Cricetulus griseus: one gene and its partner. The protein of the gene in region 1 purifies or fractionates together with the protein of each later gene. This does not show direct contact. Links are inferred from orthologs where the notes say so. Each region holds a gene or a part of one and is shown in the gene's direction. Other genes may lie near its edges.

Region 1 (3,819 bases):
CTGCAGCACTGTCCCTGTCCACTTCTGTGTTTGTTGAGGGCCCGAAGCCTGGCAGCTGCAGTTCCCAGGGTATGCAGCTAGCCTGCCTCAGGTTGAAGTCTGTGACAAGCGTATTCATGAGGTATATGACAGAAAGGGAGTAGCATTCCAGTTCCTCTGCCAGGCATGTGTATCCCCTTAATTTTTCACATATGCACACCTTCGAGGCTACATCCAGTTGACTATTACAGGGCCCTCTGAAATGCTCAGTCAGACATAGACACCCTTTTCCACCAACTCCTGAGTTGCCTTTCCTCCAGCACACTGTAATGTCCATTTTTAATAGTATGTATGGGGCTGGAAAGGTTAAGAGCAGTTAAGAGCGGTTAGTGCTTTTGTAAAAGCCCCAGGTTCCGTTCCCAGCACCCACGTGATGGCTCACACCTACTTGTAACTCCATTGCCAGGGTATCCGGTGCTCTCTTCTGGCCTCTTCAGGCTCCTGCATGCACAGGGCACACATAAACTCAGGCAGGACATATACATATATAAAAATAAATCTTTAAAACAGCCTTAGTAATTGTGAATAGTATAGCATAATAACATGTGTGGAGGCTGGAGAGATGGCTCAGTGGTTAAGATCACTGGCTGTTCTTCCAGAGGACCTGAGTTCAATTCCCAGCACCCACATGGCCGCTCACAACTGTCCATGACTCCAGTTCTGGGGGATCAGACAACCTCACCCAGACACACATGCAGGCAAAACACCATTTGCATCTAAAATTAAAAATAAATAATCTTAAAACAAAAATATGCGTGAAGCGTTCCTCACCACAAGTAAACCGTAACTCCTAGGAGATGAGCCTTCTGATCTATTTAACCTTGTGTATAAATTAGGGAGAGTTTCAATAAGTGTTTATTGACTGTCCTGGTATGGAATATCAGAGTGGCCTGAAGAAGGGGCAGTTCTGAAAGCCGAATCCAGTGTGAACTGTAAAGTTGGCCTGGATCTTTAGCAACTTCAGGTGTTGAGGGAGAAGTTTTAGCAAGAAGATGGAAGTAGAGACAAGCAGCAGGCACTGTGATGTGCACTGCCCAGGGAACTTAGCAGTCTCCAGCAGAAAGGAGTGTCGGTAGACGAGGCAGGTCCCCTAACATCCAGTGAGGGGCTCTGAGCACGAGAAAGGGAGCGTGCTATTAGAGCGGAAGCCAAACTGCACAAAACGATGGCTTATTAGTCCATGACTCCCCTGTAATCCACGGAAGGCAGGGCATGGTCGGTATGTTTCAGGATGTTTAGGTAGACTGCAGTGTGGACTTGTACCGATAAGCACCTCTGGAAGGGATCCAGAAGGTTCCAGATCAGAACAATGTTGAAAATTTGCAAAAGGGCACAAGCCATGGTTTCTGTCAGGACTAGCGGGCAGGAGTGGTGAGTTAACGGAAGTGAACAGTGGGAAAGTAAGTGTTTCGGTGGGGGTAATGGCAGATGGATCAAAGACTGCATCTCTGACCTGGTGGGATGATGAGAGGAAACGTGTTTGAAGGTTGTTCATAGGCTTGGGGCAGGGCATAGGAAGAGGGGAAAGTGTCGACTGCGGAGTCGTCGTCCGTCCCCCGCCATCCAGGAAAAGATGGGACATTTGCAACCAAGCTTCCTCCCTGCACTGTGCAAACAATAGTCAGAACATGACATTGGTGCTATTCCAAGTGACACACAGTGACTAAGAATGTGAGGCTTGCTGCACACTCCAGCTACAACAGAAGGGGGCGTGCTAAAGGGAAGTCCTTTCTGACAGTTCAGATAGATGGTGGACACAGATCCTTCTCGCTTTCCTGATTTTCAGAGACCTCCCTCCCTAAGCTGCCCGTTGGTAAAAAGTATCCAGTTAACATCTAATAGCATCCCTTGAGTTCAAGTCAAGTTTTGAATACTATTCCCTGAGTCCTCAGACTGGAGTGGGAGCAGATGTAGAACTCTGGTGGGTCTTTATAAAAGTCTAACTCAGGGATGAAGAGAAGGCTCCACCGGGCAAGCATAAGGACCTGAGTTCAAGTCCCCAGCACTCAGACAAAGCCAGATGAGACTGTGCACACACCTGTAACCCCAGCTCTGTGGAGAGCAGAGACAGGTGGGTCACCAGGCCTGGCTGGCCCCCAGTCGTCTCATAGGACTAAGGCAGAAAGTGACAGGGTGGCATACCTGATGTCCTGTTGGTCCTCTGCACAGTGGGGTTCATCCACACGTGTGTACATACACCACACACATAATCTTTAAAGCTAAGAAACAGACAATAAGTAGTACCCAGGTTCTGACCTACAATCCAGCAGTAAGGCACCAAACCAGCAATAACACACCCCTATCTCCAAAAGGAGCTGTCTTCTCATAGTCCCCTCAACTTGTCATGGTCATCTTGTCACCTTTCAGAAGGGTAAGAAAGGAACCTTTCCCTAATCTATGCCGAGGTAGCACCGGTGTGTAGGTTCAGTGGGTCCCCAGCTCCGTGTTATGTTGCTCTGGGGGTTGGAGTGGAGAGGGAGGGTATCTTTGGGAATAGACTCTTCTGACGCTTTCATTTCCTGCTCCAAAGGTTCATGAAAACCCCAGATGAAATCATGAGCGGCCGGACAGACCGTCTAGAGCACCTCGAGTCTCAGGAGCTAGATGAACAATCGTACCAAGAGGACGAATGCTAAGGGGACCCACCACGGCCTCACCGGCTGGCCAAAATGAACCCTGCGCACAGGGACCATTAGAGGTGTGATGGAGCTGGGTGTGGCTAAGAAGGAAGAGGCCCAGGAATGGCAGGAACACTTCTCTCGCAGACCGAGAGGGACCCAGAGCACCTTAGACAAACCACCCAGCAATGGCGGGGCTGGAATTCTGGCAGAGGGCACAAGCCTGAGACTCACATGTCACACTTGCTTCTCCTTTGGACCTCTTGTCTGTAACGCCTCACCCCACCCCGCACCTGCTGTTAGTCCCATGGTGTTTCTGGTTTTGTTTTTGGGGGTTTTGTTTTTTGTTTTTAAGAACATGCAGTTTGACTATTCATCGTTCATACAGGGGAAGACATCACATGTTGTTTTCCTATGGAAATATATCTATTATATATCTATTTTTTTTATTTTTATTTTTGCAAATCTCCCGAAGTACAGCCAGCTCAGCTGGTCAGGAAAGAGACTTGCAGAAGGGATCAGGCCCCTCTTTTTCCTGCCACACAGATCAGGTTTGTCCTGTTGCAGTCGGGTCTTGGATGAGAAGAAAAAAGAAAAGATACTTGCAAAACATGAAAGAGGTCTCCGTCTCCGTCTCCCTCTCGCCCCCCTTCTCTCACTCATTCTACCCCTCCTTCTGCCTCCTCTGCCTGCTGTTCAATGTCACATGCCTTTTAGCAGACCTGGCCTCACTAGCACCTAAAGTAAACATTGGCCCAGCTGTTCTGGGCCATCAGCACACAGCCAGTGGCCTTGGGCATCTGAGGGAGGCCAAACACCTCATAAATGCTGCTGTATTCCAGAAAGATCAGTGGGAGGTCTGGTCATAAGATAGGCCAGAGGCTGGACAAATGATGTGGAGGGCCCTGGCATTTTGGGATTATCCTGGAAATGCTGCAAAGTGGGAAAATACGAGAAGCTCACACAGGCCTAGTGCTCCAGGAACTAGGCAGAGCTTCTCTGCTGTGAGGAACAAGTTGTGAAGGCTGGTGAGAAAGCAGAGTGGTCAGTTTCATTGCCACCACCCCCACTCCAAGCCCCAGCCTTTTTTTGTTTTTCCTTGCTGGTCCTTACTGAACATAGACCACACATAAGGGAGGACTCTGGAGTGCAGACTTAGCAC
Region 2 (3,819 bases), about 200 kb from region 1:
AACTATAGATTATTTAAAGGGTACATAAACAAGTATAAACATGTATTAAACTCTTACACTGTGTTAGAAAGTTCACTGGCCCTCTGGGCATTTTAACTGTACTTAGCACAGTATATCTGACCATGCAGAAATCAGAACTACTATCAGACAAATTATGAAATGACCAAAAAGTGTTGAGTGAGAGTAGACTGTGTGAAGACCTATTTCCACGCTATGAAGCTGCAGGAACTGCTGAGTTCTCTGAGAGTGAGGTGTATAACAGGTGGGCTGAGGCTGGAGGTGAGCAGTAGACCATTTGCTCTGTGAGGGCAAGGCCCTGGGTTCAGTCCCCAGCACCGGGGACACTAGAACAGTTTTCCAAAGTGCATCAGTAATAAAGATGCTGGGGTCAAACCCAGGGCTTATGTACACCACTTGCACTTAAATTCATCTCAAGGTAGCAGAGCACATTTGGGGCTCCATTGAGTTCCTCTCTGCCCTCCAACTCCATCCATTTTCACTTGCTTCTAGTTATATCTTACTTGCAAATAAGAAACTGCAAAGGTCTCCCTGTGACAATAAAAAGCACAGTGGGCTTAATTTGGGATAGTGATACTGGAGACCCATGGCCTCACTGCACATGCCAGGGAAGGGCTACCCATCCATACAGACTTGAGCTGCAACAGCTTTTAGCTTTCAGACTGAATTTATGTGTTTCTCTGATTTCTGATACAGAATATTCTTTCATAAAACTAACTATGCTTCTCTTTATTTCTTCCATGTACTAGCTACAGGCCTTACAGCTACCGGCACTTTGCCCCGCCCACGACACCCTGCAGCACTGACGTCTGTGACAGTGACTATGCTCCTAGCCGGAGAATGACCTCAGTGGCAACAGCCAAGGGCTACACCAGTGACTTGAACTATGACTCAGAGCCTGTGCCCCCTCCACCCACACCCCGAAGCCAGTACTTGTCAGCAGAGGAGAACTATGAAAGCTGCCCCCCTTCTCCATACACAGAGAGGAGTTACTCCCACCACCTCTATCCACCACCGCCCTCCCCCTGCACGGACTCCTCCTGAGGAGGGGCCCTCCTCCTCTGACTGCCTCCACCGGGAAATGTAAATACACATCTGGTTGAGATCTGGAGGGGGGGAGGGAGCTGTAAAGAAGAGTGAGGCAGACTGTACAGTTAACATTATAAAGGGGGTGGGGTACTGGAGATATTTGTACAGAAGAAAAGGATATTTATATATTTTCTTAAAAGAGCAGATTTGCTGCTTGTGCCATAAAAGTTTGTATAAAATATAAGTTTGTACTAAAGGTTTTATTTTTGCAAACTAAATACACAAAGCATGCCTTAAACCCAGTGAAGTGACTGAGCACAAAGGAAACAGGGACAACAGAGACATCGCTGCCCGGAAGTCTGGGTTTTAATGATACCAAAAACTAAAGAAAAAGAAGAAATTCCATCTCAAGAGTGGCAAACTTGGAAGTAGCCAAATCGCCTTCAAATTAACTAACATTTGAGGGCCAACGAGTTAAGAAACCATAAAAGAAAAAAAAAATTACAGTACTAACTTTGGACAAAGGGCTTTGTTTTCTCTAGGAATCCAACAGTTTTCTTAAGGAAAATAGATATTTGTACAATCCATTTTGAGTGTTGCTGTTGCAGGATGCTGTGCAGCTGGTGAGAGCCCACACCTCTGTCCCAGTTCTTGGTAACATTGGCTGCTTTCACCTTGCTGCCTCCCCAGCAACTTGTAGGACGTTCTGCCAAGAGCCATGATTTAGTCAAGAATTTTAATCTGAGGAATTGACTAAATGGAATTTACTCAACAAGGGATTGATGATTCGGTGTATCTACTATGCTTGTTCACCATTTGGCTGAGCTTTTAAGTTGTAGGCTGTTTTTGCATAATCAGAAGTTAGCCATATTATTGGTCTTCCATGATTGTTTTAATGCTCATTAAAGTGTCTTTTTACAACACATATAGACAATGCTTAAAAATCACAAATCTAGCTGTTATATTTTTGTTAATTAGTTTTGTATCCTTGCAACATACAATATTACAGTGTGAGATCATTTTATGTATGTTTTTTGACTAAACATTGAAATGTGCTCTGGTTAGAAACAGTCTATTTAAAAAGAAGGGTTTTTTTGTTATTAGGTTTCCCCTATATTAACTGTTTGTGACATTTTCACTTTCTGTGGACCAGCTTTTTTCAGAGTGACGTCTACAGGCATACCTCTGTTAGTGTGGTGTGAGGTACCTTCTTGTTATGTATGCACTGTGAATGTATTTGTTTTCACATAACCCGCAGTCTGTTCTTACAGTCGCCTGTGTTTCTATGTGTGTTCTCTGTTATCCCATTATGGATTAAGATAGTTTCACAAACGTAACAGTGGAGATTAAATGAGAAGACTCACTGAACTTCTCAGCTGCAGGAACTTGAGTGGTGGGGACTAAGGGAAGTCTCTTCTGTAACATGTCTGACCTGCCATCATGACAGCCTGAGCTGCTACCTCTGCCGCTGTCAGGGCTGACCTGTGGGATGACCTTAGTTCACCCTGCTCTGCCTCTGTGCCAGGGTTAGTCTCCTGCTTCTTCCATGTGTCTAGCTCTCCTCTGCTAAAGTTGAGCTGTTTTTAAGCTAGTGTGCTTTTACCTTAGCAGGTGTTAATTACTTATTGAATATATTTTAAATTATATATTGATGTGAGGCTTCTCCAGATTTTAGAGCTTAAGCAAAAACAATGGAGGAAATGATTCCAGAATTTTGGTGGAGTTTAAATAACTTTTAAAATACACATAAGTACATTTTAAAAGAGAAAAACAAACCTTTTAAGATAATGCTGTGTTGTTGGGTACAGCTTAATCAAAATCAGGGCCACTTATCTTGCATATAAGTAAATGGCAATCCATCCGTGTCTTGCTTTTCAGTCAGATAATCATTAACTCTTCCTGTTACTGAAACAAAGTGCTCAGAGTCTAAGACAGAATGGACATCGAACTTGCCTTCTGTGATGCACAGGGGCGCTTGATGCTTAAGTGAAGATGGAAAGGTTAGCAATAACTGGGTATCAGTTAGAATTTGAGAATTCTATATGTTTACATTTTTAATGTGCATCTTTATCTGGTGGGCTTCCCATGTAGAGACTTGCACTATAGTGAGCTAAGAAGGATGCTGCCTTGTTGCGTCTCAGTCCAAGTGCTTGTGCTGCGATGGCAATGGCCTCTTCTTGCAAAATACTGATTTGTGTGCCAATTTGTTGAAATGATTCGAAGGCAGTTCAGGTTAATCTCAGTATCCTCTTTCTGGGGCAGCTGAGTATTTCTGAGAGTACTTTTTAGTGAGATGGTTGTTAAACTTGGGAAAGATAATGATGCTCAAGTTGCATGGACAGTTAAGTTTAAGTAAACTGTGTCTTGGTTATTGAACATAAGAAAAACAAGGCGAAAAATAAATTTACGAGAACACAAATTGGGAAAGGGAGGAATTTTTAAATTAGGATGTGTCTAGGTTGATTATTTAAGAGGAAACTTGAATAAAATTTGATTAGGTTCCAGAGTTACATGGATATTTATTTTGAACTTGTATCTTAAAGTATGCCTATAGGAGAGTGTGTGAGGTAAGCTTTGGTGTAGCTTGCTTTTGTACGCTGCAGCAAACTTTTCTGTATTGAAGTCTTTTATAACTAGGACTCAAACTTGACTTAGAGTCCTAGTCTTCTAACCAAGGCCCGAAAGTTCTGTTTTGGGTCAGGTAAATGGCACAGTCACAGAAAAAGTTTAAAATAGAGTTGGTGGGTAGAATATTACTAGGATTTTTCTTTT

The links.
Region 2: the proteins of Etv6 (region 1) and Lrp6 purify together in Homo sapiens (affinity purification with mass spectrometry; 3 studies listed by BioGRID and IntAct, counting the BioPlex papers as one, with this or other methods). This does not show direct contact. The link is inferred for Cricetulus griseus from reciprocal best matches to the Homo sapiens genes ETV6 and LRP6.

Annotation. Positions count from the first base shown.
Region 1 is NC_048601.1:14,704,480-14,708,298, reverse strand, and holds part of Etv6 (transcription factor ETV6), read left to right. Parts: intron 1-2,569; coding exon 2,570-2,675; 3' UTR 2,676-3,819. UniProt on the Homo sapiens protein: Transcriptional repressor; binds to the DNA sequence 5'-CCGGAAGT-3'. Plays a role in hematopoiesis and malignant transformation.
Region 2 is NC_048601.1:14,504,525-14,508,343, forward strand, and holds part of Lrp6 (low-density lipoprotein receptor-related protein 6), read left to right. Parts: intron 1-767; coding exon 768-1,062; 3' UTR 1,063-3,819. UniProt on the Homo sapiens protein: Component of the Wnt-Fzd-LRP5-LRP6 complex that triggers beta-catenin signaling through inducing aggregation of receptor-ligand complexes into ribosome-sized signalosomes.